Linked DNA regions of Saccharomyces cerevisiae S288C. Changing the gene in region 2 together with the main gene of any one other region gives a genetic interaction. Each region holds a gene or a part of one and is shown on either strand. Other genes may lie near its edges.

What was found.
Region 1: mutations in YKU70 (region 2) and PMR1 together harm fitness more than expected from each alone (negative genetic interaction), as found in Saccharomyces cerevisiae (2 studies listed by BioGRID).
Region 3: mutations in YKU70 (region 2) and HUR1 together harm fitness more than expected from each alone (negative genetic interaction), as found in Saccharomyces cerevisiae (4 studies listed by BioGRID).
Region 4: mutations in YKU70 (region 2) and PIN4 impair growth when combined (synthetic growth defect), as found in Saccharomyces cerevisiae (3 studies listed by BioGRID, with this or other methods).

Annotation. Positions count from the first base shown.
Region 1 is NC_001139.9:187,116-196,367, reverse strand, and holds PMR1 (Ca(2+)/Mn(2+)-transporting P-type ATPase PMR1), read left to right. Parts: upstream 1-5,899; coding exon 5,900-8,752; downstream 8,753-9,252. Other genes in the region: DNA-dependent ATPase RAD54, read left to right, coding at 1-2,661; YRB30 (Yrb30p), read left to right, coding at 3,068-4,390; CUP2 (Cup2p), read right to left, coding at 4,562-5,239; HUR1 (Hur1p), read right to left, coding at 8,572-8,904; SUA5 (threonylcarbamoyladenylate synthase), read right to left, coding at 9,029-9,252. UniProt on the Saccharomyces cerevisiae protein: This magnesium-dependent enzyme catalyzes the hydrolysis of ATP coupled with the transport of calcium. Has a role in the secretory pathway.
Region 2 is NC_001145.3:834,760-843,023, reverse strand, and holds YKU70 (ATP-dependent DNA helicase YKU70), read right to left. Parts: upstream 4,838-8,264; coding exon 3,029-4,837; downstream 1-3,028. Other genes in the region: DSS1 (exoribonuclease II), read left to right, coding at 1-588; mitochondrial 54S ribosomal protein uL30m MRPL33, read right to left, coding at 822-1,082; NGL2 (RNA exonuclease), read left to right, coding at 1,333-2,880; RIT1 (tRNA A64-2'-O-ribosylphosphate transferase), read left to right, coding at 6,157-7,698; AEP2 (Aep2p), read left to right, coding at 7,926-8,264. UniProt on the Saccharomyces cerevisiae protein: Single-stranded DNA-dependent ATP-dependent helicase. Involved in non-homologous end joining (NHEJ) DNA double strand break repair. DNA-binding is sequence-independent but has a high affinity to nicks in double-stranded DNA and to the ends of duplex DNA.
Region 3 is NC_001139.9:183,217-188,296, forward strand, and holds HUR1 (Hur1p), read left to right. Parts: upstream 1-4,247; coding exon 4,248-4,580; downstream 4,581-5,080. Other genes in the region: RNA-dependent ATPase ROK1, read left to right, coding at 1-868; SPO74 (Spo74p), read right to left, coding at 937-2,178; SUA5 (threonylcarbamoyladenylate synthase), read left to right, coding at 2,843-4,123; Ca(2+)/Mn(2+)-transporting P-type ATPase PMR1, read right to left, coding at 4,400-5,080.
Region 4 is NC_001134.8:118,178-126,474, forward strand, and holds PIN4 (Pin4p), read right to left. Parts: upstream 6,583-8,297; coding exon 4,576-6,582; downstream 1-4,575. Other genes in the region: TOD6 (Tod6p), read left to right, coding at 1-989; SAS3 (histone acetyltransferase), read right to left, coding at 1,202-3,697; alpha-soluble NSF attachment protein SEC17, read left to right, coding at 6,948-6,977, 7,094-7,942. UniProt on the Saccharomyces cerevisiae protein: Involved in normal G2/M phase transition of the mitotic cell cycle. In association with RAD53, also involved in checkpoint control in response to DNA damage.

The DNA.
Region 1 (9,252 bases), on a different chromosome or scaffold from region 2:
GGAATAGGAGCCGGTGAACGGCCGAGACTGGTACCTAGGCCTATTAACGTACAAGACTCGGTGAACCGACTAACGAAACCGTTCAGGGTCCCGTACAAGAACACGCACATCCCGCCCGCTGCTGGTAGAATCGCCACCGGGTCTGATAATATCGTAGGAGGAAGGAGCTTGAGGAAAAGATCAGCGACTGTATGTTATTCCGGCTTGGATATAAATGCGGACGAAGCAGAGTACAACAGCCAAGACATAAGTTTTTCTCAGTTGACTAAACGACGGAAGGATGCTCTTAGTGCTCAAAGGTTGGCCAAGGATCCGACAAGACTGAGTCATATCCAGTACACTTTGAGAAGATCTTTCACTGTGCCAATCAAGGGATATGTACAAAGACACAGTCTGCCATTAACGTTAGGAATGAAAAAAAAAATTACTCCAGAACCTCGACCTCTACATGACCCTACAGACGAATTTGCCATAGTGCTTTATGACCCGTCCGTTGACGGTGAAATGATTGTCCATGACACATCTATGGATAACAAGGAAGAAGAATCAAAGAAAATGATCAAAAGCACACAGGAAAAGGATAATATTAACAAGGAAAAGAATAGCCAGGAAGAAAGACCCACACAAAGAATAGGACGCCATCCAGCTTTGATGACAAATGGTGTGAGAAACAAACCGTTACGTGAGCTACTCGGTGATTCGGAAAACTCTGCGGAAAACAAGAAGAAATTTGCTAGTGTCCCTGTGGTTATTGATCCAAAACTGGCCAAGATTTTAAGACCCCATCAAGTCGAAGGGGTGAGATTCTTATACCGTTGTGTCACAGGGCTTGTCATGAAAGATTACTTAGAAGCTGAGGCGTTCAACACTTCAAGCGAAGATCCCTTAAAGAGCGACGAGAAGGCACTTACTGAATCTCAAAAGACTGAACAAAACAATAGAGGGGCCTACGGCTGCATCATGGCCGATGAAATGGGGCTGGGTAAGACATTGCAGTGTATAGCACTTATGTGGACATTATTAAGACAGGGCCCGCAGGGTAAAAGACTTATCGACAAATGTATCATTGTTTGTCCATCTTCTTTAGTCAACAACTGGGCTAATGAATTGATAAAATGGTTGGGTCCCAATACTCTAACTCCGTTAGCGGTTGATGGGAAAAAATCTTCAATGGGTGGTGGTAATACAACAGTTTCGCAAGCTATTCATGCCTGGGCTCAGGCACAGGGAAGAAATATTGTTAAGCCCGTTTTAATCATATCGTATGAAACATTACGTCGAAATGTTGATCAATTGAAAAACTGCAATGTGGGTTTAATGCTGGCAGATGAAGGGCACCGTTTGAAAAACGGTGACTCTTTAACATTCACAGCTTTGGATAGCATCAGTTGTCCTAGAAGAGTTATATTATCTGGTACACCCATTCAAAACGATCTTTCCGAATATTTTGCTCTACTGAGTTTTTCGAATCCTGGCTTATTAGGTTCCAGAGCAGAATTTAGGAAAAATTTTGAGAATCCAATTTTGCGAGGGCGTGATGCTGATGCTACTGATAAAGAAATCACAAAGGGCGAGGCGCAATTACAGAAGCTATCTACCATTGTCTCCAAATTTATTATCCGTCGTACTAACGATATTTTGGCCAAATATTTGCCTTGCAAGTATGAGCACGTTATTTTCGTAAACTTGAAGCCGTTGCAGAACGAGCTCTACAATAAATTAATTAAGTCAAGAGAAGTGAAAAAAGTAGTAAAAGGTGTTGGTGGGTCTCAGCCCCTGAGGGCTATTGGTATTTTAAAGAAGCTATGTAATCACCCTAATCTCTTGAATTTTGAAGATGAATTTGACGATGAAGATGATTTGGAACTACCTGACGATTATAATATGCCGGGTTCAAAAGCCAGGGACGTACAAACAAAATATTCAGCTAAATTTTCCATTTTGGAAAGATTTCTCCATAAGATAAAGACCGAATCCGATGATAAGATTGTTTTGATCTCCAACTATACCCAAACCTTGGACCTCATTGAAAAAATGTGTAGATATAAGCACTACAGTGCTGTACGGTTGGATGGTACAATGTCAATTAACAAAAGACAAAAATTGGTGGATAGGTTCAACGATCCTGAAGGCCAAGAGTTCATCTTCCTCTTAAGTTCTAAAGCAGGTGGGTGTGGTATCAATTTGATTGGTGCAAATCGATTAATTTTGATGGATCCGGATTGGAATCCTGCTGCTGATCAACAAGCTTTGGCACGTGTTTGGAGAGACGGTCAAAAAAAGGATTGTTTCATTTACAGATTCATATCGACTGGTACCATAGAGGAAAAAATCTTTCAAAGACAATCTATGAAAATGAGTTTGAGTTCATGCGTGGTCGATGCGAAAGAAGACGTTGAAAGGTTGTTTAGTTCTGACAATTTAAGACAGTTGTTTCAAAAAAATGAGAATACGATATGTGAAACACACGAAACATACCATTGTAAACGTTGTAATGCTCAGGGTAAACAATTAAAGAGAGCCCCTGCAATGTTATATGGTGATGCGACAACTTGGAATCATTTGAACCATGACGCATTGGAAAAAACAAATGATCATCTACTAAAAAACGAGCATCATTACAATGATATCAGTTTTGCATTTCAATATATTTCACATTGATCTCTTACATACATGTACTTATAAAACAAAAACAAAAAGTAGAATTCGATCGTCGGGGGGTCATTACATATTTATTTTAAATGATGGGCATGGTTATATATATTTAGACGTAATAAACAATTGAAAATTGGGGCCAAATTGGTAAATATCTCTATGTATTTCAATCAAAAAAGTATAATCGTATAACTTAAGGGTAAAAAAAGTTGAGCGATGTCATATTATACTTGTGCTAGCTTTTAAATTTTTCATTATCTTCAGTTTTATCGTGGTAAAGTGCCAGCCGAAACTGCCAAAAAAGATTATGGCAAGAAAATCTCACGCTGTCAGGGAAATAAAAATCTGATACAGTTTCACACTCTCAGAAGGATTAACTTTAACTATTACCTAACACCAATATCTGAAGAGAATGGATGAAATTCTTGCCAAAGCAGGTTCACAAGCCGTTACATTTGCTATAAAATCCGGAATATCGATAGCATCCACATATGCGCTAAAGACAATAACGAACTTTGTCGTCCAGATTCCTAAGGATGATGCTAGAAGAATAGATCAACTGAAATTTAAACTGGAAAGCCGCATGGCTATTGTATCCAGTGCAATTGACCTAATAAAGCTGGTAGCGGCGAGGGGAAACACGAATTTGCAAATCACTCTGAGGTTAACCAAGGATTTAAAAGAAGAGATTGATAGGTTTGATGAGAAGATCAACGAAATGACGCAGAAAGTTGAGGGTTCCAGGAGCGCAAAAACACAGAATGAAGCTATTAAAGCGGTAGAAAACTATATAAAGGACTTGCTATTGAGGATCGAAGAAATCACTCCATTCATTAATCTTTCTTTAACCACTTCTGGTGCCAACTTGAACAGCGCACTCCCATATCAACTTTCTCCTGGTTTATTATTAAAAGCCTCCGATTTCGTTAGCGAGAACAATAGAAAGTATGAAAAGGCAATGAAGAGTAATGAGAAAGGAACAGGTGACAAGGAGATTCTAAAAGTTCAAGTGGGGCCTACATTTGAGGTTACACTATTCTCTATTTTCTATAACCTAACTTCAGAAAACAATGGGCAATCAGGAATTGTTTGGAAAGAGGATATGAAACGTGCAAAAGCAAGGATATATAGATTGAACTCTACAGGCAGAAAGTATGATTATTTTATGAAAATAGAACAAGACTTCAATGACGGTAGATATCATGAGGATGATGACAAAGAAGACACACCACAGGAACTTGCCATAGATCTGAACCATATTAAGAAGCTGTTTTTCAGTGTTTCCGGTAAGCTTCTCCGATTAGAAGAACAGGATTCTCCAGTGTTGGTATTGAAGATTGACCGGAGCGATGACAAAGAAAATGAGAGCAGTGAAGGAGACAAGGGATTACTCGATGACATTACTTGGTATGCGGTAAGCGGATATGAAGCGATAGAGGAAGATGAAGAGGAAGATGAAGAGGAGGACGAAGAGGAAGGAAAAGACGGAGAAGAACGAAAGGAAGAAGAAGAAGAAGAAAATAAATTGGAGGACAAGGATTCGTCGATCACACTACTGGAGTACATCATTCGGCTGACGTCCTTACAAAGTAACGATCAGAAAAGTATATTGGAAGTGAGTGATGAAAGGTTATCTATATATTTGAACGATGAAAATACGAACTCCAGAAAGGATAGAATAAGCAATTCGACAATTGAAGAGACAGAAAAAAAGTTAAAAAACCTAAAACTTTAGGATGGTTACGTATCCTGTGCAGCCTTGGACAAATTTTATAATTGTATATATCTATGTATATGTATACGAATGGAAAAATTTATCCGAATCTCGGCCCGACTGCCAGCTTGCCGGGAGAACAAACAACCGCCAATATATGTATATGTATATTTATATAGATGTCCAGATGCATTATTGTGAATGTGAGTTATGCGAAGATACTTGTTTGTATAGCTCGTTCAACTCATTGATGGAGAATGGAATGTCAATATCGTTTAGTGCTGTGTTCGTAGTTGTATATGCGCTTCCTGTTTCATTGATACTAACAGGTTCCATAGATATACTAGGGCTTTGCTCAAGCGGATCGAGGGAAGCCAAATCAAGATTGTCAATGCTGTCGGCCTTAATTTCTCCGTTTTGCAGAGGTGGCTTCAAACTCGGCAATGTGGTTGTCATGTCTACATCCGACGAGCGACCATTTAGGCCCAAAAGAACGTCCAGATCTGCAATACCGAGACCATTGACATGCGCTGCTTCATCATTTGCCCTTCTGTGGCATGACCCTCCCTTTGATTTCCGGCTGCTTTTCCTCTTGGTATGACATTTACAAGGTTCACCCTCATCACAACGACATCGTGTTTCATCTTCCTTGCTGCCAACAGCTGGCCGTCGTGCAGAGGCACACATGCACCCACCGGATGGGTTGAAGTTCTTGGTTCTTCTCAGCTCTTTACAATGGCCACATGTGGTCGATGGTCTTCCCTTGCGTCTGATCATCTGTAGCGGACCATCAGTGTGAGTACACTGCGCCGCCCTGTGACCCCTGATACACGTTTCACAGGCATATTTGACCCCGTTAATTACGACCATTCTGTGAATACACTGATTATCAGTCCTCTTTTATCAAGCCGCCGTCTAATAAATTACATCGCCATGGCTACTGCTATTTCGTCCACAGCTTAATACTTACCGAACCAGGCCTTGCGGCTCTTACCCTGCGTGCCCGCGCACCCTGGCGACTTCGCCTCGTTTTGGCGATTTTCTTAGCAAATATTCTTTCACGATCGTAGTGGTGGAAGGTGGGTGAAAAGAGTTGCGTTCCTAGCAAGGATCGGTTGGTATCAATTGCACGTTCAGCTCATCCCTAGATAACCACTTAACAGCAAAGCCGATCGTTAAACTTTTGTATTCTACATTCTAGTTGCATTTTTTTTTTTTTTCATTTTGTTACATCAAGACAAGATTCTCTATTTAAAGAAGTACTTTTTTTGTTAACAGTGTGGACCCTACCTATCGTTATATCGAGATCTTGTTCCCTAGGCCATCGTACACTATAGCCCTTCCTTCAAGCACTTAATAGAAAAACCTCTTTTTCTACACCATCATAATAGTGTTTGCTCGCCCCGTTCTTTCCATTCCCATTTATAACAATACTAGTAACTATAATAATATCCTTACGACTGGGCAAGACAAGACGAAGCAAGGCCAGCACAGACGTAAGCTTAAGTGTAAGTAAAAGATAAGATAATTATGAGTGACAATCCATTTAATGCGAGTCTTCTTGACGAGGACTCAAACCGTGAGAGAGAAATACTAGATGCCACAGCAGAGGCCCTTTCGAAACCAAGCCCTTCTTTAGAGTATTGTACTTTATCCGTGGACGAAGCTCTAGAAAAACTGGACACTGACAAAAACGGTGGTTTACGATCATCTAACGAGGCCAACAATAGGAGATCACTTTATGGCCCCAATGAAATAACCGTAGAAGATGATGAAAGTCTTTTCAAGAAGTTCTTGTCAAATTTCATTGAGGATCGAATGATTCTACTTTTAATAGGATCCGCAGTGGTCTCTCTTTTTATGGGTAACATTGATGATGCTGTTAGTATCACACTGGCCATTTTCATAGTTGTCACTGTCGGTTTTGTCCAAGAATATAGGTCTGAAAAATCTCTAGAAGCGTTGAATAAATTGGTTCCTGCTGAATGTCACTTAATGAGATGTGGTCAAGAGAGTCATGTACTGGCTTCCACCTTGGTTCCTGGTGATTTAGTGCACTTCAGAATAGGTGACAGAATCCCCGCAGACATTAGAATTATTGAAGCAATCGATTTATCCATCGATGAAAGTAATTTAACTGGTGAAAATGAACCGGTACATAAAACCTCACAAACGATCGAAAAATCTTCCTTTAACGATCAGCCTAATTCAATTGTACCGATTTCTGAGAGATCTTGTATAGCTTATATGGGTACATTAGTCAAGGAAGGTCATGGTAAGGGTATCGTCGTAGGAACAGGTACAAACACATCCTTTGGTGCCGTTTTTGAAATGATGAATAATATTGAAAAACCGAAGACTCCATTGCAGTTAACAATGGACAAATTGGGAAAGGACTTGTCACTGGTTAGCTTCATAGTTATTGGTATGATTTGTTTAGTTGGTATCATACAAGGTAGATCTTGGTTAGAAATGTTCCAAATATCGGTATCCTTAGCGGTTGCTGCTATTCCAGAAGGGTTACCAATTATTGTCACTGTTACTTTGGCATTGGGTGTTCTGAGAATGGCCAAGCGTAAAGCCATCGTGAGAAGGTTACCAAGTGTCGAAACTTTAGGCTCTGTCAACGTTATCTGCTCCGACAAAACAGGTACACTAACCTCAAACCACATGACCGTATCTAAACTTTGGTGCTTGGACAGTATGTCCAATAAGCTAAACGTCCTCTCATTAGACAAAAATAAGAAGACTAAAAATTCTAATGGAAATTTGAAAAACTATTTGACTGAAGACGTTAGGGAAACTCTAACTATCGGTAATCTCTGTAATAATGCATCTTTCTCTCAAGAACATGCCATATTTCTGGGAAATCCTACTGATGTAGCTCTTTTAGAGCAATTGGCAAACTTTGAAATGCCTGATATCAGAAACACCGTTCAAAAAGTTCAGGAACTTCCATTTAACTCGAAAAGAAAATTAATGGCAACCAAGATTCTCAACCCTGTCGACAATAAGTGTACAGTTTATGTTAAAGGTGCATTTGAAAGAATTCTTGAGTACTCCACAAGTTATTTGAAATCAAAGGGTAAAAAAACTGAAAAGTTGACTGAAGCCCAAAAAGCTACGATAAATGAGTGCGCAAATTCTATGGCATCTGAAGGTTTGCGTGTCTTTGGATTTGCTAAACTAACTTTGTCTGATTCATCAACTCCTCTAACCGAAGACCTAATCAAAGATTTAACCTTTACTGGTTTAATCGGTATGAATGACCCACCAAGACCGAACGTTAAATTTGCCATCGAACAATTACTACAAGGTGGTGTCCATATTATTATGATCACTGGTGATTCTGAGAATACCGCAGTAAACATTGCAAAACAAATTGGTATTCCAGTTATTGATCCAAAGCTTTCCGTTTTATCCGGTGATAAATTAGATGAAATGTCAGATGATCAACTGGCCAATGTCATCGACCACGTTAATATTTTTGCTCGTGCTACGCCTGAGCATAAGTTAAACATTGTTCGTGCATTAAGAAAGAGGGGTGATGTGGTAGCAATGACTGGTGATGGTGTTAACGACGCTCCTGCGTTGAAACTTTCAGATATTGGTGTTTCTATGGGTAGAATTGGTACAGATGTAGCCAAAGAAGCCTCAGATATGGTCTTAACTGATGATGACTTCAGTACTATTTTAACTGCCATTGAAGAGGGTAAAGGTATCTTTAATAATATTCAGAATTTCCTGACTTTTCAATTGTCTACTTCTGTTGCCGCACTATCATTAGTTGCACTATCTACAGCGTTTAAACTACCCAATCCACTGAACGCAATGCAAATTCTTTGGATAAATATTTTAATGGATGGGCCACCAGCTCAATCCTTAGGTGTGGAACCTGTTGATCATGAAGTTATGAAAAAACCTCCAAGAAAACGTACCGATAAAATTTTGACCCATGATGTAATGAAACGTTTACTAACCACCGCGGCCTGTATCATCGTTGGGACAGTTTACATTTTTGTTAAAGAGATGGCCGAAGATGGTAAAGTAACTGCTAGAGATACTACTATGACATTTACTTGTTTTGTTTTTTTTGATATGTTTAATGCTTTGGCCTGCAGACATAACACAAAGTCAATCTTCGAAATCGGCTTTTTCACGAACAAAATGTTCAACTACGCCGTTGGACTGTCTCTGTTAGGTCAAATGTGCGCTATATATATACCATTTTTCCAAAGTATCTTTAAAACTGAGAAACTTGGTATCTCTGATATACTATTGTTATTGCTCATCAGCAGTAGCGTTTTCATCGTTGATGAATTGAGAAAATTGTGGACGAGGAAAAAGAATGAAGAAGACTCAACGTATTTCTCAAATGTTTGATATGTCACATTTTGTGCTTTTATCGTTTTTCCTTCCTTCCCTTTATCTTTCATGAGGACGCCCAACCCTATTGAGGTAAATGTACTAATTAATGGGAACATATGTAGATGTATATATGTACATATATTTACAACGGATACTAAGATAAACATGTATGGGCGACTTTTCGTATATACAAAGCAATATAAAATTTTATTCTTTCCTTCTTTTTCCGGACTAGATATAAAATCTCCGTAATCAGTGGTTATGATTTTCAAAAGTTAATCACAGTTTTATTTAAAACTGTATACAATTATTTGCAGCCGCCTTTCGCAATCTGTTCATAACAGCTAATCCTTCTCCTTCCTCATTTATACCTTCGACAAATATTAGGTCTACTTTATCATTTTCATCCACTTTTCTTAAAGCTGCAAACAAGTTAGTCTGTATTTCTTCACCAGATTGGCCAAGTCTTTCGATGATGAAAGTTTTCGAAGAAAAATCGGGTTCATTAAAGATCT
Region 2 (8,264 bases):
CCACTGGGCGAAGTAGCACAACAACAGTATGATTCTATGATAACAAGTACAAAAAAAGGAATTTTTCCCAAGCTAAAAGATATCGTTAAGCTTTCTTCATTGTTGAACTCGAGTTTTTATACAGGTCGACCTTTTAGACATGAAATGATTGGAGCTAAACAATATTTGACAGTAACATCCCCTCTTCGTCGTTTTCCAGACTTGATAAATCATCTACAAATTCACCGTCATTTGCAGAAAAAGCCTCTATGTTTTAATCAAACACAAATCGACAGTTTGATCTGGCCAATTCAATCTCGAGCGGATATTTTAAAAAGGGCTAGCCGTAATTCGTCGACGTACTGGACACTGAATTATTTAAAAAAGCTAACCAAACTAGAGCCAGAAAGGACTTTCGATGTAATGGTAACATCAGTACCGCAGAACGGATTTACTGGATGTGTTTTTCCAGACTTATCGTTCGCTAGAGGAACATTAAAATTGCATCCAAGTTCTATGCATTATCCGATGATTGGAGATATCGTGAAGAATTGTAAAATTTCAAAAATTGACTGTTTAGAAGGAATGTTAGAGTTGGAAAAGCTATAAAAAGGGACTCTTTTTCCAAATATAAAATTCAATAGACCATGCATAATTTTCTTCTTGTAAATATATACATACATAAAATATGAAATCGAGATAGTGTATTGATTTCTTTGTATCAAAAATTGCATAAATTACTATTAACATATGTGCCTATGCAGGAAAAAATAATACTATATACATATATAAGTCAGGAATATCAAGAAGAAAGGAAATCCAGTTGCCTTATTTTCGCTGTTTCAGTCGATGGTTCTCTTCTCCACTATAAACCCAGGGTTTGACTTTCTCAACTCTCGTTGCTGCGATGGTGTTAATTCATGTTCTGTTACTTCTACTTTGACTAACTCTTTTACTTTAGCTAGGGAGCCAGCTATGGCCGGGTTTACTTTTTTGTAGACTATGGACCCTCTTTTACCTAAACCCAAACTTTTGACAATGCTCTTCGTTGTGTGTGGCACACCGATAAGCGACCTACTCAACGTGACTTTGTAAAACACCATTCCTGATATCTGCTTTCAACGTGTTTTAGCTGGTCCATCAATATTGATTCCATCACCTAACTTTTGGGATGATATACTTTATCCTTAATATCTAGAAAAGCTCTTCGAGAGATATTTCGTGCAGAAAGACCATTCATTTTTCAAAAAATGGTTGCACTAAAGCAAGAGGAAAGGAAAAGTAGTGTTGCAAGAAGATGAGATTGTAGTCTCCTTATAGCTTCTTAATTGTAGTTAAGAGTATTAAGTAAATATGACACAAGACAAAGAAGTCAAAGTGGTTGCCCCAGATGTTGCGCCCGACCAAGAAGTAGAAATTAATAAATCTGTAAAAGATGCAAAACATCAAACCAATGATGATTCGTTACTTCAACATAAAAAGAAGGGCAAGAAAGGTAAAAAATCGAAGCCCATAGTGACCCCAGAACATATCGCTAAGGTTCGTGCCGAAAGGGAAGTTATGAGAAAGGCTAAAAGAGATGCAATGTTGGCTCAAGGTGTTGATCCGGACTGCCCGCCAGAGCTGCATTTTATCAGAAGACCTTTCCTATCTCTACATGAGGCAGAGCCAGTAACTGGATTTAGATTCAAGCTAATGACTTATAATTGCTTGGCGCAAGCTCTAATCCGCAGAAAGCTGTTCCCGGATAGTGGTGACGCTTTAAAATGGTACAGGCGTTCTAAAGTTCTCTTAAACGAGTTTAAATATTATAATTCCGATGTCATTTGTTTGCAAGAGATTGATCATATTCAGTTTCAAAGCTTTTGGAAAGATGAATTCAGTAAATTGGGATACGATGGACAATATTATAGAAATGCTACAAAAAACCATGGTGTCGCGATAATGTGGAGGAGAGAATTATTTCACCAGGTTGACAAAATGCTAATCGACTATGATAAAGAAAGTTCAGAAAGCATTTCCACTAGAACAACGACAAACAACGTGGGATTAGTCTTAGCCTTGAAGTTTTCTGAGAAAGTACTGTCGAATTTGGGTAAAAAATCGTCTAAAAAATGCGGTATCTTGATCGGCACTACGCATCTATTTTGGCATCCATTTGGTACTTATGAACGAACAAGACAATGCTATATTGTTTTAAAAAAGATGAAGGAATTCATGCATCGTGTGAATGTTTTACAGAACGAAAATGATGGGGATTTATCTCATTGGTTTCCTTTTTTCTGTGGTGATTTTAATTCCCAGCCGTTCGACACACCATATTTATCTATGACATCCAAACCAGTGCACTATAGAAACAGGGCAAAGACCGTCATTGGGTGCAGCACTTCATATAAGTTTTCCAAGGTCCGTGATGGCGAAGAAGGTGCAGATGACGAAGAAGGCGGGAATATTGAAAAATATGGTAAAGATCAACCTGAGAGCCCCGTTCCTGAAAAATTTCATGCTAATGAAGAACAGTCTGAACTCGTAGATAAAATGGCACAACTCCATAACTCATTGGATATGAGGGCTATTTCACTATACTCTGTTGGGTATAAGAATGTTCATCCAGAAAATGCAGGTCTTGATAATGATAGAGGTGAGCCTGAAATTTCAAATTGGGCAAACACTTGGCGTGGTTTATTAGACTATCTATTTTATGTAAAGAAATGGGACCCACAAAGTAATTGTCAGGAAGTGGAAACCCTTGGCGATTTTGAAAAAGAAAATAAAGTTAAATGCAGAGGTTTTTTGAGAATGCCGCCCGGTAATGAAATGACAAAGCATGGACAACCACATGTTGGAGAATATGCAAGTGATCATTTGTCTATGGTGTGTGATTTAGAGTTACAACTATAGATTACTGTCGTGCATAAATATCTTGCTAATAGTTGTACAGTACAACGTTTAGCACGACAAAAGTTCTTAATAATAAATATTACATCAAATACCCTACCCTACCAAATATTGTATGTAACGTTATAGATATGAAGGATTTCAATCGTCTTTATATATTGAATTTCGGCTTTTTATCAAAGGGCTTCTTTTCTTCTTTTATCGAAATGTTATCATCGTTAAATTTTTTGTAGAACATATTCCAGATTTTAACATATTTATTTAGCCTTTGGATGATTGGATCTTCTGACTTCTCAGATTCTAAAATTTTATTTCGTATATAATATAGTTTCCTTAAAGAATCGTCCTCACGCATCATTCTGTCTTTTTTAGTATTAGGTGTCTCATTTTCGTCAAAAGTGGTTTCAATTTGCAACAGGTAATCATGTAAAACTTTGTAATGTTTTTGTAATAGTGGGTTTTTGAAATCGGATGGGTTATATCCATCCCTCAAGTTAAAGTATCCCATTATACTTTGAGTTACTTTTTTCATGTTATCATAATCTAGTTTATGTTCAGAGCCATCATCATAGGATAGTAAACTAGGAAATTTTCGAATTTCGTCTAGGAATGGAACCCTGTAGAGATAAAATCCTTCGTTGTAGTCCTTCACGCTTGAGGGTGATAACGTATATAGTGAAGGATGTGAATTTGATTTAAGCTTCCCCCATAATATTGCAATTTTATCTTTTTTTCTCAAAATTTTTAATAAAGAAGCCAAGGTTCTTATCGAACCTTCATATTTTGCTTCATCTGGTACGATAAACGAACTTTTGTCTATGTTATTGAAATAGTGTATCGATTTGCTCGATGAACGGAACCCAATAATCTTCAAAAACGCATCTTTTTGAGTATAAGCCTCCATTACTATCTGATCTTGACTATCTGATAGATTGATATCGAGGTCACCATAAGGATAAACCTTGACAGTTTTACCAGTAACGTCTTCTCCTGTTATAGGATTTAAAAATTTTCTTTTTGAATATGCTTCTTGTCTGATATCTTCATGCTCATAAACAAGTTTATACCTGACTCCAGCTTTTTCATGGGTATACATAGTGTAACCCTTGACTCCGACTATAAAATTTGTTTTCTCATCCAAGATTAATGGACATTGAAACATTATCCTCTTTACCTCCTTTTTCCTTAGGATTCTGGACTTGATGTATTTAGCATCTATAGGCTTTGTACTTGGACCATCAAATTCAGAATCCAAACCAGTATTCTCATTTGTATGTGAACCCAACTGCAGTATGTCCGAATAAAACTCGTTGTCAAATGGTTTATCGGCATAGCCAATAAAAAAAGTTGCAAAATTCACTTTGTTATCAAATAAATCAATTGTAAGCCTTCTCAATCTTGCCCGTTCATCGATATCTTGCGCCTCTTGTGGTTTATCAATGTCAGTGAATAAGAACACTCTCTTGTTGCTTAATTGCTTTTGACCCGGAATCTCTTCCAAAAAAGTGTCAAGCATGAATGTGAATAATACAGATAAGCGCACTTGCTTTTCACTCCCAGTTTGTTGAAACATAAAATAGTCGTATAGGCTTATTCTCCCCGATGATAAATCTTCTAAAAGATCGTTCAATTTCTTCATAAATGTAGCATTTATATCCCTTAATGGAAAAAGTTCATAGATACCTTCCTTGGCATCCTCTCTGTTACAGTAATAAAAATAGCAACCAATAGCTGTCCCAGGTCTTGTTATGACCAATTGTGACATTAGCTCATCTAGTGATTCCAGAATTTCCAACAATGGTGATTTATACTCTAGATCAGAGGACTCTTTAAACATTGTCTCTGATAGTTCAATGCAAAACAAAATTCCTTCATGGATATCAAACTTCCTATAACCTGTTTCATCCACTTGATCGTTAAGTTCTCCACTATTGCCAAATGCATTAGTGACTGAGCGCATAATATTCCCGTTTTAAAATCAGGCTTAGAGTCACTTAACAAATCATAGCTTTACTGTTGAAAACTAGAACAGTAATACAGAGAATGTCATTTGGTAGCTACCTTAAAGCAATCCCTAATACATGAAATTGAGAATCTTCAAAAATTAAGGTAATCAAAAGTAAAAAAATATCTCCCGGGGGCGAGTCGAACGCCCGATCTCAAGATTTCGTAGTGGTAAATTACAGTCTTGCGCCTTAAACCAACTTGGCTACCGAGAGTCAATTAACTGATAACCATTCAATTATGAGTCCGTCTAATATCATGCTTATTCACAATTTTAATATAAGCAACCTTGCAGAAGTGACCTGTTGTCAAAACGGAATATCAACTTGATTGAGGGGATGATAATTATCCTATATATTCTATAAATATGGATTATACTGAATATTGGGTGAATAATTTGATAATTGTTGGGATTGCATTGTTGATCAAGGCTATATAATATTATGTACACAGAATATATTAGAAGTTCTCCTCGAGGATAGAAATCTCAAAATGGAATCTATATTTCTACATAATAAAATTACGATTATTCCTCATTCCGTTTATATGTTTCATTATCCTATTACATTATCAATCCTTGCACTTCAGCTTCCATTATACTTGATAACTATTTCTCAATCCTTATTTTATGTTTTTCCACCGCATATTATAATATGCCAGTAATATTTATTCTTATTAATGGTCGTTAATTTCACACCAGGCGTGTTTATAACTGAGTAATCACTTTAAATTTGAGCATCCGGTTTTGCACCGTTAATAGTATCATTGTTAATTAGTAGGCAGGTTGTAGTATATTCTAAGAATAAAACAGGTGCCCTTAATCTGTACAAGAGAAGAGTATGAAATATGAATTACATTGGGCATATCGACTATACGCAATATATCAGTAGCTTCGACGATTTAGGTAGGTATAAGGGTTTCCTATACCTGTATACACAAATTTCAAACTTATGGCCGAGCCAGATAGTCCTTTAGCTATGCCTTCCATTACTTCTTGGAAAGCTTGTTGCATTTCCCGTCATATTATGTACGGTTACAACTTTTTTGTTGATTTCCATGCCCGAAGGGAGCTTAGCATAGCCGCTATTACATAATCTTATCATCTTCATCAAAAATGAACTTCTAAAATCATCCCACCACTCTATTGCTCTTCATATATGCGTTGTATGTTTATGTGCTTTGTTCTTATTACTGCTTAACTGTGACTGGGCCCATTATTCATTGTTCATATGCAGGAAAAAAAAAGCATGCTTGAAAATTTTGATCTCTTGATGGATGGTATCGAGGCTATCAAAGAGATATAGATCCAGAGTACAGTTTAGTATATCCGTGATGGATGAAAATATTTATCTTTCGCTATCTCAGATAAATAAAGACATCAGAAAGGAAAACAAGTCCGTAAGGAATCGACTTCAGAGTATTCTTTTAGACAATAAATTTTTGCAAGATCGAGTTATCCCTATATTTCCCCATTATCCACTGATACCCAATGAAAGATGTGGGCTATGGTACTGTAATCCATCAAGTTTCAAACAGACCAGTTACTTTAAGAGCACAGACGGGCATGTCAACCAATGGGACTTTAGCACCCGAAGATTGAACTTTCATTTGTTAGAGACCATTCGAGATAATAAAGGTATTATAATTGTCGATAGTACTAGAAGAGGTAAAAAAATCCCAGATGCTTTGAGTAAGACTGTCCCCATATGGTGTGCTGTATTAAATACGTTAATGCTTCAGGAAACAGAAAAAAATGTTGCCATCGATAAGGTACTGTATCTTCCACCTGAGACAGTTCCCAAATCAGAATATGACATGATTAAGCGAAAAATACCCGAACTAGTTGCTAAACTACAAAAATTGAATATTATAGATTCTAAGAAATTGAACGAACTGTTTATGGGTAAGTTATTGCGGCCCATATGGGTTCACCCTGGTTCTTCACTTCTAGACCATTCTGTTGATTACTTCACGGGTGAAGTACAGGAGTATGAAGCCTGGGAAACACCTGAAGACCAAAACATAATACCCATTATTTTGTGCACGGTAAGCTATCAAGCACAAGATGGTATGGATAAAAGATACGGCTTCACTTATGTGCAGGGTGCAGCCGACGATCACGAGCTCTGGTCTTTTGGTTTGGATTCAAATATGTTTTGGGCCCATATAGAATACCTAGGCGACGCAAGTTATTCAGACGACCAGTTACATGATTACATCATGGATTTGGCTGCTGCAAAGCTGAGAAATCAGTGTTATATACAAGATAAAGGAAGCTTGGATGAAGTCTTTGGAAACATTGATAAAATTACGAATGAGATATCTCTAGGAAAAGTGAGTTCAGGCTTAACCATCAATAAGAATTTGAAACAGAAATTGAAGTCAGAATATGGTAAAGTTATAATTTTCAGTAATTCGGTGACTGTTGCTGAAGATACAGACGATGAAGAAGAAAGTGGGACAGATCCGTTTATTTCAATATACAAGTTGCAAAGCGGAGACAAGAAAAGTTCAAAAGCTTTACGATCCACATTCCCTAGAATCCATGGAGAAATTCAATCGTTGTTTACAAATCGAGATGAAAAAATAAAGCCAATGCTAATATGCTGCAATACAGGTACTGATATGTCAATCGGTGTCATCTTAAGTATCCTTTGTACCAAATATACTGAAGAATGGATGCTTACGTCGGAGTTACCGGACATCAGTAAGCTTATTGTAAGAAAACACTTGACAAAATTGATTTCCCACTTGAAAGGACGCAACGTTAACCCTTCAAGAGCAACACTGAACAGCGTCAATAGCTTTTTAATGTAGTGAGTTAGGCAATACTGAGATGTTTACTCGCAATGTCACTGTATATTTTAATATCAAATAACGTCAGTTTTTATTAGAAAAAGAGCGGGTTACCGTTTATCCTGAACAGAAAAGGTTCATTGAAAAAGAGCCCTTCAGACATTGGCTAATGAAAAGAATATGTAAAATCAAGAACAAATTAACGAAGCTCTCCTTCGTTAACAGTCCACTACCTAAATTTATGATTAATGTGGATAAATAGACTGGTTAAACATCCATCCTACAGTGTTCTGAGGTTTTACACGAAGAGGCTCTGCACTGTATCAGTGAAATCGCTGCGTGAATTTGGTGTACTGCCGAATAGCACAATATGTCATTCTGTCTATCCCCGAAGAACGTATGTAATGGGTAGGGCTGTCATAAATGATATTTTAATCAAAAAATCCTATTCAACTCACACGGTATGTGCAATTGATCGATCAAAAGATGAAAATAATGGGAGCGCTTATGACAAATTCGAGGCAAAAGGTATACCTATAGATGTTCACACATTAAAACGAATTATCAGCTCGAGTGGAATGGATGAA
Region 3 (5,080 bases), on a different chromosome or scaffold from region 2:
TTTGATATTTGATGAAGCTGATAAATTGTTTGACAAAACATTCGTTGAACAGAGTGACGATATTTTGAGCGCCTGTAGAGAGCCATCGTTGCGTAAAGCGATGTTTTCTGCGACCATTCCATCCAATGTAGAAGAGATTGCACAAAGTATAATGATGGATCCTGTTAGAGTTATTATTGGCCACAAGGAAGCAGCAAATACAAATATTGAACAAAAATTAATATTTTGTGGTAATGAAGAGGGTAAACTAATTGCTATTAGACAACTCGTTCAAGAGGGTGAGTTCAAGCCACCGATCATAATATTTTTAGAGTCTATTACAAGAGCAAAAGCGTTATATCATGAATTGATGTACGATAGGATTAACGTAGATGTGATTCATGCAGAAAGAACAGCCTTACAAAGAGACAGGATTATTGAACGATTTAAAACTGGTGAATTATGGTGTTTGATCTGTACCGACGTTTTAGCTCGTGGTATTGACTTCAAAGGTGTCAATCTGGTCATCAATTATGACGTTCCAGGATCGTCTCAGGCTTATGTTCACAGAATTGGTAGAACAGGTAGAGGTGGGCGGTCAGGTAAAGCTATCACATTCTATACTAAACAAGACTCAGTAGCTATTAAACCAATAATAAATGTCATGAAACAAAGTGGTTGTGAAGTATCTGAGTGGATGGATAAAATGGCTAAAATGACCAGAAAGGAGAAAGAAAGTATAAAAAACGGTAAAGCGCATAAAGAAAGAAAGCAGATTACTACTGTGCCTAAGATGGATAAGGCCAAAAGAAGACGTCAACAAGAAATGATTGCAGCATCCAAAAGAAGAAAAAATGAAGAACTTTCAAAAAAACATTTCTCGAAATAATATAAACAAACGTGCGTATGCAAGACATGTATATATGATTAGTAGTTTTTTTTATTTACTTTCATTGATCAATTACGTGACCAGCTATACATTTCTTCATTACTTCTTCTGGGCATTCTATTTAAATCGATATTTCCAAACGACTTTGTCATTGCTGCATAACCCTTTTGATAACTATCGTTTAACCCCACACCTCTGTAAGATTTCGATTCCACTCCATTATGTATATTTCTTCCAGAGTTAAAATGCTGCTTGTAATCTGAATTTTTTCTCTGGAATAGAAGTTCATTTTGATTTTCAAATGACATAAAAGGTTTTGTTTGATGTATATTGTTAGGGTGGAAAAAATAGGGTGTTCCACCAGTTATGGAGTTTTGTAGTTCTGCTTTTTCTCCCCAAAAATTTGATGTATTGGACGTGAAATCATAGGTTTCCTCGAAAGACTTTCCGTTTCTTTTCAATCCTAATGGGGGAGAAGGGCGGTTATCTATTGGCAAAAGTGGATTTCTAAAATCCCTAATGGAAGGTAAATTTTGACTTTCAGGTTGATTGGAGAATCTACGAACTGCTAGCTCTCTATTTAGCAAAGAGTTTTCTTGCATATGAAAGAAGTTTAAATCATTCAAAAGTTCCCCCAAAATTTTGAGCTCATATTCTTCATCCAAGTCAATATCTCTGTATTCCAAGAATTTCTTTTGCATTTGAACTGCGTCGTCAAAAAATGGAACACTTGACAAGCAAATGTCAATCTCTTTTTTAATGTATGTAAGCAAGTTGGTTTTTAGAAAACTCACCTCTAATTGTGTTTTGGTAAACGCTGTTGTGGCAGCTGAATACTCGGTTGGAGCTGAATTTGGCCTCTGTCCCTTGTATGGTGAAGTGGAAATATTCAATTCCATGACCGGTTCCTTTATTTCTTCTAATCCGCTTGTAAAATGAAAGGGCTGCATGTGTTTAGTTTTGTAACCTTCTGTATTACACCAAAAACTTTCCCAATTTTTAAATTGACACTCTTTCAAGCTTGGACTAGAGTCCGGAGCCAGTTTTAAGCCATCATTAAAATCGTCCGTGTGTTCAGATCTTTCGTGTATATCTTTATTTTCATGGAATATGTTGCTTGCAGTCCCCATTTTAGATGACTTTTCTTCATCTTTTTGGGACTTCTGTTTTACTGGACTATTTCTTTTACTTTCCTTACTAGTATTGCCATCTTCTTGAGAATCCATGTTAGGATACGCAGGCAAATCTGAATGGATGTTATTTGGAAAGTTTTCCTTTTCTAATCCATTTAAAAGAGTGCCAGCTCCCATCACTCAACCAATTCAGCTCTTTCCTTGCCAATACAACATAACCGGGAAGAGTTTCAAGTTTGACTTCCAACTAAATACCTAATGTTTTATTGTTGTTATTTATATTTCTTGTGACACAAAAGAGAACATTGATGTCATTTGAGCCTTATCGTTGGAAAGGATAAATAAGCGGTTTAAAAGGATAAAAGAAGCGCAAGCAACAAATCTCAACACAAGTGTAAACCATATGAATGGGGTTAAATGCCTTCTTCTTTGAGATATAAAAAGGAAGTAGAATTTAATATATTAGACATTTTTTTGATTTGAGCCTAAAAAAGATAGCCCTGTAGGGGGCTCGAACCCCTAACCTTATGATTAAGAGTCATACGCGCTACCGATTGCGCCAACAAGGCTATTTCGTTGAAAAATTCAGGCTTCAAAATTATTATATGTATCAAAAATATTTTTTTGAGAAATTTCAAATCATTATCTACGCTAGCCTTACTATTTTTTCACCCAGAAGATAGTAACCTCATCGCACATACCTATTGAAGCTGATAATATTTGAAGCGAGAGCTTTATTCTTCTCCTCAAATTTTTTTTTTCTTCTGCGCTGTTAACTTACCACTAAACCTGTTTCCATTTTTAATGGTAGTCCTGTTTATTATTCCATTTTTAGAATTGTATGTACCTTGGACGACATTTTTTGGCAATGACATCGAAAGCACTGTTTGATACCAAGATCTTAAAAGTTAACCCGCTATCAATCATTTTCTCCCCTGATGCGCATATAGATGGTTCCTTACCAACGATAACAGATCCTGAAACGGAAGCAGCGCTAGTTGAAGCGGCGAGGATAATAAGAGATACAGATGAGACTGTGGCTTTTCCAACCGAAACTGTTTATGGTCTTGGAGGTTCTGCTTTAAATGATAATTCAGTGCTTAGTATATACAGGGCCAAAAATAGGCCTAGTGACAATCCTTTGATTACACATGTTTCATCCATTGATCAACTTAACAGAAAGGTCTTTAATCAACCGCATCTATCAGGTACATCCTTGTTTGATAACATACCCTCAATCTATCGCCCATTAATTTCAAGCCTTTGGCCTGGCCCATTAACAATTCTTTTGCCAGTTCCATCTTCAGAGCATAGTGCATTATCAAAGTTAACGACCGCAGATCAGCCTACGTTTGCGGTACGCATACCCGCTAATCCAGTGGCTAGAGCACTGATTGCCCTGAGCGATACACCAATAGCTGCTCCTTCAGCGAATGCGTCTACTAGGCCATCTCCTACTTTAGCGTCTCATGTTTATCATGATCTAAAGGATAAAATTCCCATAATTCTTGATGGCGGAGCGTGCAAGGTTGGTGTAGAAAGTACTGTTGTTGATGGGTTATGTAATCCTCCTACGCTACTGCGACCTGGCGGTTTTACATATGAAGAAATTGTTAAATTGGGTGGTGAAGCTTGGTCTCTTTGTAAAGTTGAGAATAAGAAAACAGTTGAAAAGGGCGAAAAGGTAAGAACGCCTGGTATGAAGTATAGACACTATTCCCCTTCAGCTAAAGTTGTTTTACTAGTTCCTCATTGCGAAGGCGATGGCATTCTTAAGGGCGTTGATAGGATGGAAAGATTAAAGAGGTTAATCGAAACGGAATTAAAAGCCAACAGTAATATAAAAAAAATTGCGATTTTAACTTCCCTAAAATTACGTGATTCCGACTTACAATCTAAGATCTTTAATGAACCCGATTTTTCTTCGAAAACTTTCATCATCGAAAGACTTGGCCAATCTGGTGAAGAAATACAGACTAACTTGTTTGCAGCTTTAAGAAAAGTGGATGAAAATGATAAAGTAGACCTAATATTTGTCGAAGGTATAAATGAGGAAGGAGAAGGATTAGCTGTTATGAACAGATTGCGAAAGGCGGCTGCAAATAATTGTATACAGTTTTAAATAAAACTGTGATTAACTTTTGAAAATCATAACCACTGATTACGGAGATTTTATATCTAGTCCGGAAAAAGAAGGAAAGAATAAAATTTTATATTGCTTTGTATATACGAAAAGTCGCCCATACATGTTTATCTTAGTATCCGTTGTAAATATATGTACATATATACATCTACATATGTTCCCATTAATTAGTACATTTACCTCAATAGGGTTGGGCGTCCTCATGAAAGATAAAGGGAAGGAAGGAAAAACGATAAAAGCACAAAATGTGACATATCAAACATTTGAGAAATACGTTGAGTCTTCTTCATTCTTTTTCCTCGTCCACAATTTTCTCAATTCATCAACGATGAAAACGCTACTGCTGATGAGCAATAACAATAGTATATCAGAGATACCAAGTTTCTCAGTTTTAAAGATACTTTGGAAAAATGGTATATATATAGCGCACATTTGACCTAACAGAGACAGTCCAACGGCGTAGTTGAACATTTTGTTCGTGAAAAAGCCGATTTCGAAGATTGACTTTGTGTTATGTCTGCAGGCCAAAGCATTAAACATATCAAAAAAAACAAAACAAGTAAATGTCATAGTAGTATCTCTAGCAGTTACTTTACCATCTTCGGCCATCTCTTTAACAAAAATGTAAACTGTCCCAACGATGATACAGGCCGCGGTGGTTAGTAAACGTTTCATTACATCATGGGTCAAAATTTTATCGGTACGTTTTCTTGGAGGTTTTTTCATAACTTCATGATCAACAGGTTCCACACCTAAGGATTGAGCTGGTGGCCCATCCATTAAAATATTTATCCAAAGAATTTGCATTGCGTTCAGTGGATTGGGTAGTTTAAACGCTGTAGATAGTGCAACTAATGATAGTGCGGCAACAGAAGTAGACAATTGAAAAGTCAGGAAATTCTGAATATTATTAAAGATACCTTTACCCTCTTCAAT
Region 4 (8,297 bases), on a different chromosome or scaffold from region 2:
TAACTCAAAGATCTACATCAACATTTTCGGACCATGAGCCACAACACACGAAACCAAGGAAACTGTTTGTTAAGCCAAGGTCCTTCTCTCATTCTATAACAACCAACACGCCTAATGTAAAGACTGCTCAGCAGACAAATCTAAGCCTTTATAACACTACTTCAGCAAAGACAAATAAAGCTGTTAATTCCAATGATTATGAGAATATTGGTCTTGTGCCTAAAATTATTATCAGGTCTAGAAGGAACTCCTTTATTCCTTCAACTCAAATCCCTCATTCAACGACGAAGACTAGGAAAAACTCGCATTCCGTAATTTCTTCTAGAAGATCATCTTTTAACATGATGCATTCAAGAAGATCATCCTTCAACTCTCACGCTCCTACGGAGCCTATTTCTAGAAGAGCTTCCTTGGTAGTTAGCCCGTATATGTCACCCAGAAGGTTATCTACATCGCAATCCGTTCATTATCATCCACAGCACCAATACTATCTTAACCCCATAGCGTCTCCCAACTGCAAGACAGACCACGCAAATGACAAAATCACGCACACGAGGACTTTCTTAGATATGCAAAAATTCGCTAATAAACACCCGTGGTCTAGAGAAGATGATGAAGTGCTACTTAACAATACGAAGGACAAACAAAACCATTTGTCGCCGCTAGAAATTTCTATTGTTCTGCCTAATAATAGATCCGAGTTGGAAATCCAACAAAGAATGGATTATTTAAAGAGAAAAGGACGTGTAAGTGGTTTTCATACAAATGAAGGATGCAAAGACGAGGAGGAGGAGGATGACATTGACCCACTGCACAAGGAGAATGGCATTAACACGCCATCGCAGCAATCGCAAAATTACGGTATGTTAGAGGCTAAACATGATAATCCAAAGTCTAGTGAGCTTTCTTCTATGACCAGCGCAAATGACATACGCAATGAGCAAGATGAACTTCCAGGTATAAATTCTATCTTTAAAAATATATTTTAAGCTAAGAGACGAATTTAGTTTGTTTTGACTATTCGTTTAATGAGTACAAATTAATCGCACCCACACATGTACACACACACATATATATCTTTATATATACACATAAAATTTATTCGTAGGAGAATTCTGTAATACTATTGACTACAAGGGTTCTTATTGCTATTAATAATGTTACATGTATATGCTTATATCCAATATATACCCATCGCCGCTTATTCTTCGTCATCCTCTATTAGAGTTATTTTTCTTCTTTTTCTGACTCTCTCCTTCCTTATGTGGCTTTCTATATCGTTTTCATCCTGCTCTTGTCCTTTTCTCTTCCCATCCTCATCATCATCACTGTCTTCTTCATATGTGTCTTCCTCCTCATCATTTTCTTCTGATATTTGCTCATCCTCAATGTCATCATCAAGGGTAAAGTCTTCGTCTTCGTCTTCATCTTCTTTGGCGTTTTCACCTACATATAATTCAGTATCTACATCGTTTTCTACTTCATCCTGCTCTAAACTTGATATTCCAGTATCGTTTCTCCTAGCTGCATGATTTCCAAGTGGTGTTTCGGAGTTTTTAATAGTGAAGCAGAGCTCCCAATGAGTTTCTGTACTAAATTTTGATCTTGGTATCCCTTTGCGATCATGGATGCTTTCCAGCACTCTTTTTTCCGCTTGATAGATTAATCTATCATTATTTGTGTTCTTATAATCACACATATACTCTGTTAAGGAGGAAACAGTGTCTTCAAAAAAATCAGTAGCAGGTACTTCCGGTTCTATGATATTGTTTACATGAAGCTTGGATGTTTTGTGCTCACTACTTCTTCTTCTTCTTCTTCTGCGTTTATTATGTGCTCTACTGTTGTTATAGTTTTCTATATGTGTGTTATTCGAAATTACCGGAGCCATAGTTTCATTTGTAAGAGCTTCGTCCGCTAATGCGGTGGGTTCTAAGTTCATCATCCCATTTATACCAAATGACGGCCCTAATATAATAGGTTCCCACAATAGTTTGTCATATTTGACGCGAGGATAGTTTTTTGAGCTCCAAGTTTTGTAAATATTTTCAATCCTGTTCCAAGAATCGATTTTAATAATATAGTTGAAATCATCCAAACTGGATAATGAGCGTGTTTTATGGCGATACAAAACTTGAAGTTGTTCCAATCCAAACACAACGTCTGTTGGTATCATTCCTGTTAGTTTAGCGATATCGTTTAGGCTAACCTGCTGAAAAGTATCTTCATTTTTATTATTTGATCGACGTCTAGCACTGTCTCTTAATTTTAATAGCACTTCAGCACATTTTATCTTCCAAAACGTTCTGTAAGTCAATAATCCTAAATCCGACAATGGTTTTTCAGGAGTTCCAAATTTTGACTCCTTTCTGGATAATAAATATGAAAATTCCATCAAAAACTGACCATATCCTTTCCTCTGGTATATGGGTAGAGTTAAAATACAACTTAGGTTATAGTCATTGGAGTTGAATTTTTCCTTGGAGAAATAGCCTACGAAATGGAATTTGGCTGCGTTTTGATAGGGATGGTTCTCTGTATCCTCTCTCTCCGTTAGAATATAGAATATAAACGGTTCAACATCGTAATACAAAGTCTTAGAATTGATAAAACATTTTGCCAACAGGCAAAGATTTTGACAATACAAGACATTCTCCCGCCCATCAATTTCCCAAACAGACAGCTTACCGTCGCGATAAATTTCATTTCCGGGGGGCTTAAAAGTTAGACACTTTAGTTGGTGTCTATAAAAAGTATATCGAGAAGTCATATATTTTAGGCAGAACTCACATATAAAAACCATTTTATTTTGGTTGATGTGTTCCGGAAAAGGAGATGTATACCAAGGTTTAATTTCATAATTTCGAAGAACAATGTATTCTATCTGGGAAAACCACACTTTATTTTTGATTCTTGGTACTTTCCCTTTCCTTTTTTTCCTATCTTCGTTTTCTTGATCGGTTTCATTATGATTGCAAAGTGATACGTTACCATTAATGTACGTTGCAGACTTAGAGTTTTCTAAAAATGTAAGAAACTTTATTTTATCTTCCCAGGTGGGTAAAGTTCTTTTTGTACTGAAATCTTTCATTTTTTTTATTGTTCCGCCGTATGGTACGTACCATTGCCAAGAATCGTTATCCCTGAATGGCGTATTATCAGAAGAATATGGGTACTCCATGTTTTCGGTTGCTAGATCCCATGTTTGCTTTAACCTGTTAACTCTTCTTTGAAACCCGATTAGAGGACCGGATGATGTTATATTTTTGTTAACTAAAGGTGCTATGACTGAAGATTTAGATATTAGTCTTTCAAAATTGAAAAATTTGATAGAATCATACTTAATTCTAACCTTCAACTCCTCGCTGACTTCAATATTAGGTTCAATAATGGGGAAACTTACTGCTCCCATCTTATTGTCCCTATTAACGATATTTTGAGAAGAATTTTCTGACGCAAGTTTGGACTGCTGGGAAATCAACCCTTTTTTTATTTTATTAAGGCCTTTATCAGACCGAACACTTCCTCTTATTCGATGTGATATACTGGCATCGGAGTTGAATAGTCGTCTTGTAGTTCTATGTCCATTTGTATCGCTTCTGACAAATTGAGAATGTATCAGATCATCGATCTCTAAGTTTTTCAATAATGCATTTTTTTTGGGTTTTGGCGATTCGTCGTTTGCTGTTAATGACATTATCTGCAAATTATACGGAGACTAATTAATGAAGAAGGAAGAAGAGAGAGGGCGGTATGAATAACACCTATGAGAAAAGAATAGCAATGCTTTTCCTTTTTTACCTTTTATATTCGTTCTTTCTTCTTTTGCCTCTTTTAATATGCTTTGTTTCTGTGCTATTTTCCCGACTCTTTATTTCAAACAATGAAGCCCCCAATTAATCAAGAACCACCAAAATAGCATGTCAGTTGAACACTCAACGACTAAAAAAACGAATAATTTCTTGTTCAATTGGCCTGAACGTTTGACTATGAAACTTTCTGCTCTTCTCTGATCATTGTAAACAAAGAAATGTCAATAAATTATTGTTACCCGACTTTCTATATACTACAAATACCGCCAATGATGCAGTGAGCAAGATATCAATTAATGCAAAAACAATATCGAGTAAGGTAGAAACATCTCTGTGATTAAACATCGTACATATAAATACCATATATAAAAGTATGTGGGAAAAGAACGTTCAAAAAAAAAAAGTAAGTAGTAGGTTAAAAATAAAATCTCAAAAGAGGGAAAAAAAAAAAAGAGGGATAATTTTGGCTTGATTACATTGCGTTACTTAAAGTAGCCTCATCATTCATTCATTATCATCGTTTCATCGACATTAGGTGACGTTTCTCAGTAAAAATTAACTTCATCATGATCATTAATTTCATATTCATATTCGGTTATTTTTTTTTTTTTTTATATTTTTTTTCAATGGTGTTTTTGATGGTTTTTATTATATATATATATTTTTTTATCTTTTATCTTGTGTAAGCACCCCTCATTACTTGTATCGTGCGATATACAAATACCAAACAAACTCTATAATCATAGAATAATGGAAGTATATATTACCATAGATTCTTCTTGTTTTGGTTTTGTAAATCCAGTCCGCTTAAAGAACGATTCAAGCCCTGTTCCAAGCCATCATCTAGTCCAGAGTGACTCAAAGATTTATAGATCAAGTCGGCACTATTCAAATTGTGTGCGGACAACATGGACTCATCGTGATAAGACTGATATGAGAAATTAGAATGTACTGAGCCATTTGTGTGCTGTGGAAGCAGTTGGGACTGTGAGTTTGCTGAAGATGGGCCGTTAAGGTTGTACAACTGCTGGGAAGACAATGAAGCATTTTGGTATGCCACTGGTACCCGTTGTTGAGTTTGGGACTGTGCTGGTGGTTGCGCTTGGGATAGGGTTTGGCTGTTGATTGGGATTTGTGAATTTGGAGGTGAAATTTGAGAATTTCTCAGTAAGGGATTAACGGAATTGATTTGATAATGGTTGGCAGAATAACCGGATGGAATTCTTGAGGATGGTGTTAAAGTAGCTTGTTGTCTTAAAAAAGATTGTTGTTGTTGCGCAGCTGACTGAACATTTTGCTGTGTTTGTGGTTGAGGTTGTTGCGGTTGGTCTGCGGAATTGTATTGAGAACTATGGTGTATGTTCATTTTAGGTGAGGTTAGTGTTGGTTGCATGGAGAATTGTCCCTGTGAAGAAATTTTTGGTGTTGAGCTGGCGCTATTGTTATTAATGATGACATTGTTACCGTTACCGTTATTACTGTTAATAGTATTGCTGTTGGAAGAATTGTTAACGGCCTGATTGCTAATACTATTCGCTGCAGCTGCTGCATGGGCCTGTAACAAACTTGTATAAGATTGTGACCTATTCATGGAGCCGCCAGTGGAGTTTGGCTGCAAAGGATGAGCAGATGTCATTTGACCTTGTTGTTGCAAATGAGATTGTAAATTAGCATGATCCAGAATCTTTCTTCTGATAATAATAAATCTTGGATCATATACTTCTACTAGCCCTAAGTACGAGCACAAAACATTGATAATTCTCTTGTGGGAAGCGGATATACCCATGGGATAAGCCAACTCGTAATAATACTTTTCTCTATCCTTAAATAACAATAATTGGGAATAAATTTCCAAAGTGTCAGGGTCATTGAAGTCCAGTTGTTGGGGTGGGAGAGGCAAAGTGGAAGTTGATGGTAAAGGCGCATAAAATCTCTCAGTGGACATCTGGGCTTGATTATTAACGTTTGTTTGGTACAACGATGAAGAAGTATGTTGGGCAGAAAGTGAAGGTTGGTTCAGAATGATGTTACCACTATTGTTGTTATTAGAACTGTTATTGTTAATGGTATTATTCATTGGACTGTTCATCATGCTATTAGCATTAATGCCGTTCATTAGAGTCGAGAATAATTGATTGTTAGAAGTATTATTGTTTCCGCTTCCACTCATTTTAGATAAAGAATCCAAAGAAAGATTAGATGACGATCTGTGTTGTTCTTCTAATTGTCCTCTTTTCTCTCTCTTCTCCCTCTCGATTCTTTCTCTTTCAGCTTGGGGAAGCATTTTTTTATATTCCACTTTCAATTTCCTCCCGCTGATTTCCTTTCCATTCAAAGAAGTTATCACTTGAGTAGTTTCTTCAGGAGTGGTGAAATTCGCAAAGGCTAGTCCTCTGAAAATACCGTTATCAAAGTGGTAATTGAAGGCATAAGGAAGGGGAAGATCCATTTCTTCAATAATGTCTAACAATTGCTCTTTTTTAATAGCAAACGGAATGTTTTTAATAACAATAGCATTTGGGATAACATCATCGTCCAAAGCACCATTGGTGGGGGCATTATTCAAATTTGTAGAAGAAACGTTTTGTTCGGCATTTTTTGCAGAGTTCTCACCAGTTTCCGTTTGCACACCGTTTTCTTTGTCAATTGCATCTCTAGTTTCGATAGATTGCTGATTTGTTTCCTGGTCATTAGTCTCCGTATTTATATTATTATCCTGAGCATCATTGATGGCTGCAGGAGGAGCATTCTCAAAAGAACTGGTCTCCATTTCTTATTGTTGTTGAACACGCTTTCCCTAGTCTGTAGCCTGCCTCTATGAGTACTATATCACACTTCTTCTTGCGCTAATCTCCAAAGACCTGCTGGTAATCTCAGCTGAAAGGCTGCCTTTAATTGTTATTCTTTTCCAGGAAAAAATCGCAAAGTTGCAGCATCCGTGTTTCGTGACATCATTGAAGGTTACCCTAATCTATTACCTCGGATTAACTTGAATTAATAAGGACACACAGGTATAGGGAAGGTAAAGTTGAAGTAATGATAAGAAGTGGGCAGCACCGAAGCAGTTTATCTGAACTAACTTCTGTACGACTCGAGAATATAGTAAGAACACCATCATTAACCTGAAAGTTAAAAATGTCAGACCCTGTAGAGTTATTGAAAAGAGTATGTAGTAGGGAAATATATCAAAGGAACAAAATGAAAGCTATGTGATTCCGTAATTTACGAAGGCAAATTACTAACATTGAAATACGGGAATTGATATTTCCCGTTGTGTTAAGGCTGAGAAGAAGGGTGTTCCTTCATCGGGTTTCATGAAATTGTTTAGCGGTTCTGATTCATACAAGTTTGAGGAGGCTGCTGATCTTTGTGTCCAAGCAGCCACCATTTACCGTCTAAGAAAAGAGTTAAACTTGGCAGGAGACTCGTTTTTGAAAGCTGCTGACTATCAGAAAAAGGCTGGTAATGAAGACGAAGCAGGAAATACCTACGTAGAGGCTTATAAATGCTTTAAAAGCGGTGGAAACTCTGTGAACGCCGTGGATTCATTAGAAAATGCTATTCAAATTTTTACTCATAGGGGGCAGTTCCGGAGAGGTGCTAATTTCAAGTTTGAGCTTGGAGAAATTCTAGAAAATGATTTGCATGACTATGCAAAAGCTATAGATTGCTATGAGCTCGCTGGTGAGTGGTATGCCCAAGACCAGTCGGTAGCATTATCGAATAAGTGTTTTATCAAATGCGCAGATCTAAAGGCTCTTGACGGTCAATATATTGAAGCAAGTGATATATATTCGAAGTTGATCAAGAGCAGCATGGGCAATAGATTGAGCCAATGGAGTTTGAAGGATTACTTCCTAAAAAAAGGGCTTTGTCAGCTAGCTGCTACTGATGCAGTCGCTGCTGCAAGAACTTTACAAGAGGGTCAAAGTGAAGATCCGAATTTTGCGGATTCAAGGGAGTCAAATTTCTTGAAAAGTTTAATCGATGCTGTTAATGAAGGTGATAGCGAGCAGCTAAGCGAACACTGTAAGGAGTTTGACAATTTTATGAGACTAGATAAATGGAAAATTACCATTTTGAATAAAATTAAGGAGTCCATCCAGCAACAAGAAGATGATTTGTTATGAACGGCATATACTTACGCGCACATACATATATACATATATATTATAAATGTAACACTTGTTTTACCCGAAACGGCGAAGTAATTGTGTACCGCCGTGCACCTTTTCCTCGAGATAAACATATAGCGATGACTTAGAGAACAAAGTAGTATTAGTATCATATACTTCCAACGTTAATCAAGCGCAATAAACCTTTGTTCGTGTGTTTCAAAGTTATTGCAAGAGCGAAGTTGAAGCCATCTTTTCACGAGAAGTTAGCTGTGGTTCGAGTCTGTCGCACGCCGTGTAATGTAAGGATCTTCCCTTAGCTTTTCTGATCCGGAGCCCTTGAGGGATATTACGCATCGCGTATCTTCAT